Linked DNA regions of Tribolium castaneum. The protein of the gene in region 1 interacts with the protein of each later gene in a pairwise test. Links are inferred from orthologs where the notes say so. Each region holds a gene or a part of one and is shown in the gene's direction. Other genes may lie near its edges.

Evidence for each region.
Region 2: the proteins of p115 (region 1) and tn interact in a two-hybrid assay, tested with the Caenorhabditis elegans proteins (2 studies listed by BioGRID). The link is inferred for Tribolium castaneum from reciprocal best matches to the Caenorhabditis elegans genes uso-1 and nhl-1.

Annotation. Positions count from the first base shown.
Region 1 is NC_087399.1:6,664,449-6,671,334, reverse strand, and holds the start of p115 (general vesicular transport factor p115), read left to right. Parts: upstream 1-2,973; 5' UTR 2,974-3,056; coding exon 3,057-3,134; intron 3,135-3,191; coding exon 3,192-3,535; intron 3,536-6,348; coding exon 6,349-6,886. Other genes in the region: radial spoke head 1 homolog, read right to left, coding at 1,820-2,310, 2,363-2,723.
Region 2 is NC_087395.1:21,349,727-21,355,158, forward strand, and holds the end of tn (RING finger protein nhl-1), read left to right. Parts: coding exon 1-225; intron 226-2,621; coding exon 2,622-3,082; intron 3,083-3,143; coding exon 3,144-3,575; 3' UTR 3,576-3,661; downstream 3,662-5,432. Other genes in the region: uncharacterized protein LOC100141518, read left to right, coding at 3,797-3,856, 4,015-4,070, 4,121-4,286, 4,335-4,517, 4,567-4,819, 4,868-5,023.

The DNA of each region.
Region 1 (6,886 bases):
GTGCTTTTATGTTTTATTTATTATTATTATTATTATTATTATTATTATTATTATTATTATTATTATTATTATTATTATTATCATTATCATTATCATTATCTTTATCATTATTATTATTATTATTATCATTATCATTATCATTATCATTATCATTATCATTATCATTATCATTATCATTATCATTATTATTATTATTATTGATTATAAAAAAATAAAAAATAAAAAAAATAAATTCGGAACAAACCGTTTTGTCTTAGGACTTTTAGTTAAATGTTTTTTGGTGCAATTTTTTTTATTTTTTCAATTTTTGCCACAAATTTTATGCTTAGTTTCGGAGAAAGAGATAAAACATGTGTTAGAATTATCGCAATTACGCCGAAATTATTCGAGCTAGCGCAAAAAGTCCATGGTAAAGACGTCAAAATCTATCAGACAAGATGTAAATCTCGGTTTAAATCAAGTTTGAAACATGTTTAAAATCGGCTTTTTGTATGGTAAGGTATTTTTCTATTTTATTTTATTTTGTTTTGTTTTTTTATTGTTTTATTTTCTCAATTAACTCAAAACTCTTCGGCAAATATTCAGAGAAAGTAAATTGGTTTTAAGAAGTCTATTGGCATCTAGAAAACCGCCGCAATATTTCTCAGTAGTATTTAAATTACCATCAATTTTTTCTTAGGAATTTCCTACATAGGTATTACTTGTTGAATAATGTTTTTTTTTTCTACTTTTATATTTTATTTGGTCTTAGACGAAATCTGAATATCAGCAATTAGTAGATTGCCTGGACCGTTTCACAATAAAATTATATTTTTTTATTGTGAGCCATCTCATTGTAGAAAAAATAGTGTATGCAGCTCGAATTTAATAGCTAGATGCTAAGACACTAAGTATACCTACATATACTTATACTTACTGCGACACTCGCTTACGGCTCGTGCTATCATTAAATACTTATTGTATAAAATATGTACTATCAATTTGATAAATACTTAATTAAAACAGGTTTTCCGACGACACTAAATATTTAATTTAAACTAAAAGGTTTAAAGCTCGTACTATCGAAATTATGGGCTGAAAATCAACCAAAAACTAGAAGAAAAATGAGGAAACAATTAAACAGAACCAAATGTCGTTTTTTGCACTTTTAATAAGAGAGTTTAAAAAACAAGATTTATTTCTTGATTTTTCGAGGGTACGTTATACGGTGACTAAACAAAAATTAATTACGGGTAAGCAACAAGATTAATTAATAAATTAACTAAATCAATTAGTAAAAAAATAGTAACGGACTAAAACTGAGCTAAGTTTTTTTCTTAATCAGTTGCACTACAGCTCGAATGGCCCATTTTTTGCACGATTTCATCACTTTGTTAAATTTGTGGCCAATTAGTAAAAATCGCCCAATTTAAATATTCTACCGCAACTTATTATTATTGGCAGGTGAATTGTTGCTAATTTCGGCCATCTGTTACGTACATTATTTTCTAATAATAGCCCAGCTTGAAACTGTTGATTTTTTAAGGCAAACAGATGGAAAATTGTATTTAAATAAAAACTACTGGTGCAATAAATTAAACCTAAATAAACAGCTACTTTGTTGTATAAAATAAATAAATTACAAAATGATTAATTCCCGACGATTTAAATAAATAATTATAATTGGTTTGGGGCCAATATTTCAGACTTAGCCCGACTGGGAGTCAAACACAAGAACCTAATTATATTCAAATTTATCACAAAATCTTTATTTTTCAAATTCGAGTCGCCCACGACCCCAGGTGTCCCGATACCAATCACAAATAAATTTTAATTAATTTTAGCCTTCACCAAAATTTGAAGCATAAAAAATGCAACTTGGCGCGCACGTATTTTTCGATTCTTCATCGAAGTGTTGGCGCAACAAATCGTGGTTGATTTTCTTCGGCTTCTTCCAATCTTCGCGAATTTTTGCACTCGTGTAATATTTTTTGTACCACGCTTTTTCGTCATCGGTGAGGCTCGAAACTCCCAGAGTTGAAATTTTCTCAAAGACGGTTTGCTTCATTTCTTTGTTCTTCTGGTAGTCTCTGAACCAGTCAGAGTCTTCGAAATCAATAACGGACTTGGTTTTGGTGCTTTTGGCGAAGACTTGTCTCTCTAATTCTTTCAAGTCTGGTGTTTCCACTTCACTCGTTTCGCCTTCTTTTTCTTCTTCACTCGGAATTGTTGTTTCTTTGATTATAGGGCGCCCTTTGCCCCTTTCTCGGTCCAGTTCTTGCGAAAAAATGTGCTCACGGTACAGCAGCGTGTGCTCAGGGCCGGCCTTACCTTAATTACACTTAAATTTATTTCATTCGTAATCACAAAACTGAAAAATTACCATGCCAAAGGTGTCCCTTGTAATCAATAAAAATCACATTCCCCGAAGGCTTATTATTCAAAAATTCGCAACACAACCGGCCTCCCCTACGAAAAGTGTATGTCCCTGGACCGTTGTACTTGTACTTTTTGATTTTTCCCTCAAAAGTGTCGTTATTTTTGAACATAATGCGCACATTTTCGTTTTCATTTAATTTATCGTCCTTCCAGTTTCCTTCGTAAAATTGCAAATCGTGCGTTTCGTAAACACCATGGCCTTGCCTCCATGCTAAACCACTAACATGAGCGCAAAAGTGACCCGAATATTTGTCCCGATTTGGAAAAAGAAACTCGTGTTCACCCTCTTGAAACCCCTTATTCATATTCCCGCCAAAAAACGCGACATTTATGTGACACTTTGACTGAGGGCGCCATCTTCCACCCACTAACCCAAGCGGACAATAACAGGTCGCTGTATCATAAACCTGCCCAAACTTTTTCAGTTCAGAAGTAAAATTATAAAACGCCACTGAGCTACGTCCAAACATAGAAAATTAACCAAATACCTCTAATATCTTTGAAATTATGTCTTTGAAATTAACACACAAAAAGTGCCCCCTTTTGTGCGTTTCAAAAACTGCGCTATTGACGTTTCTTTGTATACATGTCACGTCAAAATGTCAAAAATTTCAAACAATTTGTGTTAATTTCGTGAAATGGAGTACTTCCGGAGCGGTTTGAAGTCGGTGCTGGGGGCCCCGGCCCCCGGCACCCAGCCCACGGGTGCCGAGACCGTAAGTGCCCCCGAAACCCCAAACAGCTGTCCTGACCGCCCCTAACCCCACTTTTAGGTGGAGCGGCTTGTGAGTCGGGTCAGTACTTCGACGTTACTGGAGGACCGTCGCGACGCATGTCGGGCCCTTAAGGCCCTGTCTCGGAAATATCGCCTCGAAGTGGGGGCCCAAGGCATGGATGTGTTGAGACAGGTCCTGGAGTTGGACCGCTCTGACTGCGAAATCATCGGCTATTGTCTCGATACGTTGTGTAATATCACCTCGAAGGAGGTTTTTGAGGAGGAGAGTGAGAGTAATTTAAACATTAAGGTCAATGTGGGGGAGCAGTTCACTGAAATGTTTATCAAAAATGCCGAAAATGTGACCCTGGTTTTGAGTTTTTTGGAGGAGTACGACTTTAGGTAATAATTGCTTTAACTAATGACTGATCACACCTTTGCACCTCTTTCCTTGTGGAGATTCTTACTCTGTGATTTTACGAAATTTTGAAAATTAAAATTAAGTGTGTTTATATTTGAAAAAAGTTCGATAGAAATCAGAAATAATGTGATGTTTGAGTTAAGTGAGTAGTTTTTCTCTCACAAAAACCAACATTTTAGTTCAACAACGTACTCAAACACCTAAAAATTGTTAAGAATAACACTATTTTTGGGCAAATTTGCAATTTTGACTAATATATGTATTTTCAAACGGTTTAAATAGAGTGATACAGGTCAAAATAACGGTAATTTGTTTTAAGCAGTTTTGACAAAAAACTAAAGTTTTTAAATAAAAAATGAACTTAGACGTACTATTTTTAGTGAAATCTCGTGAAATACTATTTTTATTTCTAACCAAAAAATAAGCTAAAACGGTCCAAAAAGCAAAAATGAGTTATCATTTAATTAAGTATTTTTCGAACTAGTTTAACAATATCTGACAAAAACCCTAAGATTTTTTATTCAAAAACAAGTTTAGAGATGAGAAAAAGTCAAAAATAACATTATTATTTTTAACCAAATTGATGTTTCGTTTATTTTTGACAAAATTTCAATAAATAACCAAAGCCAGTAGATATACAGTATATCTACTGGCTTTGTAAATAACAAGGTAAATCGAGTCAAATATCAATTTTGATTTGTTCTTCTAGTTTTTAGCAAAACAAAGCTAAGTCAAAATTAATTTCGATTTTTTAAACAGACATACTGTGTTTTTTGCAAAAAAATAAGTTTTTAGCTGATAAACATACTAAAAATACAGAAAATAATTTTGTTTCTGACTAAATCACAAGCTAAAGCGCTAATTAACAACAAAAATTTGATTGTATATTTTATTTGTAGTGTTTTTTGGCATATTTTAGCGATATCTCGCAAAAAACCTTTAGATTTTACTTTGAAAACGTGCTTAGAGGTTGGAAAATTATAAAAATGACACTACTTTTACGCAAATTGTTTATTTTTGTCGAAATTGTGTTCTAAAACGAACTACATAATCATGTATTTTTATGAGTTTTAGTTTTCAATTTTAGCCTAGTTTTTGGAAAAAAATAAGTTTTTACTTTAAAAATTTTTCAGTTTGTTTTATTGAAATTTTGTAAATTCATTTCGTTTCTGACTGGAAAACTAGTAAAACCGCTCGAGAAGAGCAAGAATAGTACAATTAATTGCATAACTTGGTAATTTTTAGACCTGTTTGAGCGAAATCGTTCAAAAATTTTGAAATTCTAGTTCGAAATCGTACTTAGGGGGTAAAAAAAGATAAAAATAACATTATTTTTGACCAAATTACCATCAATTTCGAATTATTTTTATAATTTTCTTGATCGATTTTATTGATTGAAACTTGCTTAAGACAAAAATAACATTATTTTTTGTTTAATTTAATGATTTTCAAGCTTATTTTTAACGAAAGTGCTAGCATTCCTAACTGTAAAACAAACTAAAATGCTTATAAATGCAATATAGTAGAGTACTTTTTTTGTAATTAGATAAATTTACGGTCGGTTTTAACTGAAATTTTACAAAATTATTGAAAATTTAATGTACTTAGGGGCTCAAAATAAGTAAAGACAACTCCAACTGCCATCAGGTTTTGTGATTCGTCGGCTTATTTTGGCGAAATTTCTCTCAGAAACTATCAATAAGTCGACTGAAGCAGATGAAATAAGATCGATTTCGATCTATTTTAGAATATTTCTTAATTTTTTGGTTTCGATTTATTAAAAAGTAAAAACTACACTGAATTTACTGAATTTACAGCTTTCACCAGAGAAATACGTGTTAAAGCACGCGAAAACGGTCTAAATTAAGATATTTTCACCCATTTAATAATGTTTGTGTTTGATCGGATGAAGTCGCTTATTATCGGTAAACTAACCTTTACCACAAGGAAGGAGGTATTCGGAAGTAAAATTACCGTTGGGGGCGCCACTGAGCTAGGTCGAAAACAGTAACCATAAATGGCGGGAAAATGTTTATTCGGATATTTTGAGCGTTGTACGAATTTTGGGGCTTCACAATTATTACATTGCCTATGCGGAATGATTATTTCATCTTTGATGCAAGAAACTTATGTTGACAAATGAGAGATGACGAGGAAAACACGAATAACGAATGACTGTTTGGTTCACTTTCTTTATTGGAAAATTATTACAAAGACATTGAAAAGCCTACCTTTTGGCATAATTTACGTTTAAATGTATCAGCAGTTGTTAATCTTTATTGTAGTTTTGTAGATTTACCGCAGCATTTCATGATTTTTTCAGTGGAAAATTCTAACCTAAAATTCATAACACTTCACTAATTTATTGGTTTCTTGAGCCAAACTTTGTGTTCGCTGTGATCCATTACTTATAATCTTTAATTAGACAACTGTTTGATAACACTTTGTAATCAAAATTTAAATATTTTTCACTTTTTATCCACTTTCAAGTTCCAACAATAAACACTTTATACCACGAAAAACTACAGAACCAAAGTCAACGCTAGTATTTACCACCACGTACTTTTAAAGTAATTCTTTCTATTGTAAGTAATTAACACTATATACGCAAAATTATTGAACAATTCATTAAATGTCAGTTAAATGTGGCATTACGAAAATTTCTTTACTGTTTTCGACATAGTTCAAAAGTCATCACCAGAGGGCGTCTAGTTAATTTTATTTCCGAATTGAGCTTTTAATTATCTTTCAAGTGTTTCGAGTGTGGCTAAAGTAGAGGTTCCCGCGATTTTAGGGTTAGATGGCCAGCTGTCAAGCTGCTCACTTCACTTCTGGCAAGTAAACCTAAAGAAATCCAAGATGTGATCCTCGTGAGCCCCATGGGGGTTTCAAAACTTATGGATTTGTTGGTCGAAAGTCGCGAAGTGATCCGGAACGACGCTTTGCTTCTTTTGATTAACTTGACAAAATCAAACGCCAACATCCAAAAAATTGTGGCTTTTGAAAACGCCTTCGACCGATTGTTTGATGTTATACGGGAAGAGGGTTTTACAGATGGGGGCATTGTGGTTGAGGATTGCATGCTACTGATGCTCAACCTCCTCAAAAATAACACAAGCAACATCAATTTTTTCAAAGAAGGATCATACATACAGAAGTTAGCCCCCATGTTTATCCTCCCGGACAACTTGGAGGAAGTTGGGTGGAGCCCCCAGAAAGTGTCTAACATGCATTGCGTCCTGCAATTGGTCAGGACTCTAGTCTCGCCCACAAACCCAGTCCAGATTGTCACTTCGTGCCAAAAGACAATGCGAAATGCCAATTTACTTGAA
Region 2 (5,432 bases), on another chromosome or scaffold:
GTTCTTGGGCGAGGTATTTAAAGAACAAGTACGGGAATAGGAACAGTGGCAAAGATAAGGAATCGAGTAGTTCGGTGACACCGTCGAGTAGTTCGACGACGGCGAGGAGACTGTCTCTTGGTCTCCCGCTGAGGTCGTCCACGGAGTTAGGGAGCTCGGACGACGACCAAAAAAACATGCAAGGCTCCCCCACTACCCCTCCTACAGCAGCTACGGCGGCAGCCGGTTAGTATTTTCAAGTATTTCGAAAAAGGGCACCGATACTGACCAACACAAAGGCGGTTTGTGTTGGCATTCCTCAGGTGCTAAAGGAACGAAAATTTTCGACAAGGGGTTGTTCACAATTGACTACCTCTTATGAAAGTTTGCAACAAACACAAGGTGCCTCATGTAAAATTGTGCTCAAAATCAAAGAAAATCTCAGGACAGTTTGTTAAAAAAATACTCGTAAATACAGACAAATGACAAATTAATGTTATACTTTTTTGGAACAATACATTTGTTATTTAATACAAAAGTTCGGTAAAAGAAACTCATTAATTGAACATTTACCTATAAGGATTAGCAAATTCTAACTTTGAAAAAGCCATTATCTCCAAAGTAAATAAATAATCTAATATTTAATAAAAAGAATGAGATTTATTTTCAAAAATTTCAGTAGATATCTAACGAGCATTTTCAATTTGTACGAAGAAATATTGTTTTATGTGGAAAAATATCTATTATTTTTGTGTGATTTAAAGTTAATTAAAGTGTAGTTTAAAGAAAATGTCACAAAATACTGAACTTTATTAGCTCAAAAGCAAGTTTAAGCTCACGAAAAGGACGTGTAATATATAAGAAGTGAGTTTCTAGATTAAAAACTTGTATAACTAATCGCACGTAAAGCGTGAAAATCAAACCATTCCAGCCAAATTCGACGATTTTTCGGCTTACTTACGAATGGCATTATTGTCCCTAGCCCGTCTAATAAATTTAAAAGCATTGAAAAAGTTGGCCGTACGTATTTAAATAATGTTAAATATTATACAAGCAACAGAGAATAAATTCGCAGGAGGAAGATATAAAGGTATCTAATATGAACAAATTATCAAATATTGTATTAAAAAAATTCAGGCTTTCACCAATTTGTACCTTATTTTTCAAAACGCAGTGAATATGGCCGAACATACAAAAAAGCTTAAGCAACAAAGTAGTGGAGAATTTCTACAAAAAAAAGGCTGTGAGTCCAATGCCATATCTCTATTTTTAACCGTTTAGGTTTAAATTGCTTTAAAGTATTCCTTCAGCATTCGTTTAAAATGAAACGAATACGTCGCTTGAACGGTCTTTACGGCCTAAACGGTTAAACCTTTAATAAAATTAGATTCTCTACAACTTATTCCCTCTTAAATATTTCTTGTATTTTTAACCGTAAATATAAATCGAAAAATTTATAATTATTATGATTTTCTGTTTTCTAATTTTTTTTTGTTATTATCACAGTTAGGTTACTATTATTTTTTATTTGAAAATTAAAGGACATGGATGTATTTTTATTTTTATGGAAGACAAAGCGACATCGAATGTGTATGATTCTATGAGAATGTTTTTTTTTCACCCAAAATAAATCTGGCAATAATTATTATTACTGCATTTGGCTTTCGAGAAAAAAAAGGCCGATAGGAAATTGATTTTGACTGTCTTTTATCAAAATTAAATAACTGACGAGAGAAAAAATCATTTTTATTGTTTACTTATAGTTTTGGTTTCGCGTTTATGTTTTTATTTTGTTTGGTTAAAGTATGTTTGGTGTCTACAATATGTTTTTGTTCTTTTATAAATTTCAATACTTAATCTTCGCAATTTGAAAAATATGTAGGACGGCGCTCAACTTTTTTTTCTCAGGTTGGTCGAAAAACTTTAGTCGTTAGTTTTTTAATGTCCAATGTTCCAACTTCTTTTCCACTCACTTTGTAAACTAATTTCAATTAATTTCAAACAATTTGGAGCAGAGACGCTCTAAAACGCTCCACCGCACTAAATTTTTGGTCATATCGAGTTATTTTGTATGTCTCTCATCTCCTTGTAAAGTAATTAGTTCTCTAGGGACTAATTATTATTGACGAACTCTCGCCAAACAAGTGGAAAATAACAGAGATATTTACCTACCTGCATTTGTGTGTGTGTTTTTTTTTGTAATTCATAGTAGTTACGTCTTATTTTTGTAACTTTGTCTCGACTTTAATTATAGGAATAAGTTTACTCTGTACTACTTTATGCAAACTTCGCTAACATGATGATTTGTACTTCTGAGCTCGGTTTTTCATGACTTCCTTAGCCAGCATTACTTAGTTTTCGTTTACCGACGAGAAAATCTAGACTTTACGTTTTTAATATGAAGCAAAATTAGAAATACAAAATATTTTTACTCTTGTAATAACAGTTGCGAGTTAAATAAACAACACTTCAATTTATTTATAATCTTGATTTTATTGAGATTCTCGAAAGATAACTTTCCTCTGTAAATAAATCGTAAATGTGTAAGCCACTGAACATTTTGATGAGGTCCTGTTTTGAACACAGTTTAATTTTTTTTGATAACAATGGTAACTGATAAAATAAATCCATCTTTTGCGTAGGTATCGCAGTGGCAGTGGCAGGTACCTCCCCTAGGAGTCAGTACTTGCAGAAATGCCAACAGCTGTTCGAAATTGGTAGTCGGGGGAGCGAAGCCGGATGTTTCACCTGGCCTCGCGGCGTTGCCGTGGGCCCCGATAACTCCATCGTAGTCGCGGATTCCTCCAACCACCGCGTCCAAGTCTTCGACTCAAACGGACGATTCCTGAAAGAATTTGGACAATACGGCAACGGCGAAGGCGAATTCGACTGTCTTGCAGGCGTTGCCGTCAACAGAATTGGCCAATTTATCATCGCCGACCGGTACAACCACCGAATCCAAGTCTTCGACCCTTCGGGACGCTTCTTGCGAGCCTTCGGCAGCCAGGGCACCGCCGACGGCCGCTTCAACTACCCGTGGGGCATCACCACCGACGCCCTAGGCTTCATCTACGTGTGTGACAAGGAAAACCACAGAGTGCAGGTTGGTATTAACAGTTTTTTAATTTTTCTTTCACAAGTACATAAAATGTGTTTCTGTGCAGGTTTTCCAGTCCGATGGTACCTTCGTGGGCAAGTTCGGCTCCATGGGCAGCAAGGAGGGCCAACTGGAGCATCCCCACTACATCGCCGTTTCTAACACGAACAGGGTCGTTGTTTCGGACTCGAACAACCACCGAATCCAGATATTTGACGTGAATGGCAAAGTCCTGTCCTCCTTCGGGTCCGAGGGCTCGGACGATGGTCAGTTCAAGTTCCCCAGAGGCGTTGCTGTGGATGACCAAGGCTACATTTGCGTTGCTGATTCCGGAAATAACAGAATCCAGATTTTCCACCCCGATGGAACATTTTTGCGTTCATTCGGTTGTTGGGGCATCGGCAAAGGCGAGTTCAAGGGCCTTGAAGGTGTCGCAATGACCCCCAATGGACACATACTGGTGTGTGATCGAGAAAACCACAGGATACAAGTGTTTTAAATCAAACCAATTTAATAATCTAATACTTTTTTCATTTTAACAGTGTGTTAACGACTTACAAGCAATAAATACTTGCATTTCTCAAATTGAGTTTTTTTAACCCGTCCATCTACGTGGTGTGAGGCCTCTGGAAAATCGATCCAGCTTTGTAAGCTCACTGGTAAAGCGCGCAGGTTGGCCAAGCCAACCTCAGCTGCGGCAAAGTCCCTGCTTTTTGACAAATGCAAAGACACAAATGTCAAACAAGTATGGCCCTTCATGGTTTTATCGGCACTTGGGAGGTGAGATTTTGATAATTTAGCGCAAAAAAAGGTCCAGACGTGAGACAGCTCAGTCACGTAACAATTGGGCGCAAATTCGGCTTGTTTACTTCGATATATTGTTTGTTTTGACAGCTGTCATTTCGTTTTATTTTGCAAATTTAAACGCAAATTTGCAGATAATTGGGTGCGGATACATTTCGGGGACTTACAGTGACAATCAAGGATTGGAAGGGTATTGCTTTGGTCGTGAGTATCGGCTCAGATTCAATGAAATTATTGTAGTGTTCGCTTCCGTTTGGATGATAATGGAGACGTCATTTGGACGGTCCCTGAAGAACTCAAGTCGATCCCCCTGTTTAGCTGCGAGACCTACGAGCTTTACAGCACCACAATATCGGGGGTGGTGTTGCGGTTCGGGGCCTACGCGGGCCATGTCTTGGAGTTTAGGGTACTTGTCCAATTTTTTATTTTGCAAAAAAATGAGCCACAATTGTAGTGTGATCAAATGGAGCCCCGCGAAAACCTCACAATGACGTGCGAGAGCTGGTGCATGCTCCACTGTAAACGCATTTACGAGGACGCCACTGACAAATACCACTCAATTCCCTTTTCTCTGCTGCCGGCCCTTGAAGACGGCTATTTTTCAGATCTAACAATAGTTTCGTCAAACAAGAAACAAGTCTGTTTGTTCGTGATTGTCCTGCTGTGTTCTAACGTGCATTCTGCAGTTTAAGGTTCATTCGACGATTTTAAAATTGCAAGGTTGTGACATTGATTGGTTCGCCGATCCGTGCCCCTTTAGTAACCTCCCGGAGGACGTTTTGGGCACAATTTTACATTTTCTTTACGCCGAGTGTCTCCCCGAGAACTTAACTGAAGTTACCACTCATCAGGTCTTAAACGCTGTGTCTCAATACCCCTGTCTTAATAAACTTGTTAGTAAATGTAATTTATATTTGAAAAATATGGCACTAAAGCAACGTAAGTTTGCGCGGTAGTTTGGCGTGTAATCAGTAGATTTTTTTTCAGAAATTATTGGTCTAGTCAATGACATGCATGGAAGCATGAATCAAATTATTGAACACTTTAACGTAAGGAATAACCATTTGTCTTCAGAAAATATCACTTCAAATCCCGCAAAACTATGTTTTGTGGTGAAACAATCAATCAGGGATGCGGCAGTTGGTAATTATACAACTGAAAGGGCAGGAGAAAATCAACAAAGTGGCGCTGGCCTTTGGTGCGTTTTTTAATTACAGTTTAAAAAAGTTCCGGCGTTAAATTTTGTCCATGTTAAGGGCCGATCTAATTGCAATCAAATTTATTTTGACATTTGTTATTATTATGTTTTAAACAGCCGCGAAACAAGAATGAATGGTCATATAAATACAAATTTTTTTATACATTACTGAGATGATAGGAAAAATAATTGTAATAACCAATTACGGCAAAATATCGCACTTGAAGCTGTAGGGAAAGGAGTTGTGTCACAAATATCCCTTTACATCTTAAATACTACGAGGTGTTTAAACAGATTACATAAGTATTGATCTAATTTGTCAAATTAATTGCTAATTTGTCCAGCAAGTACCAT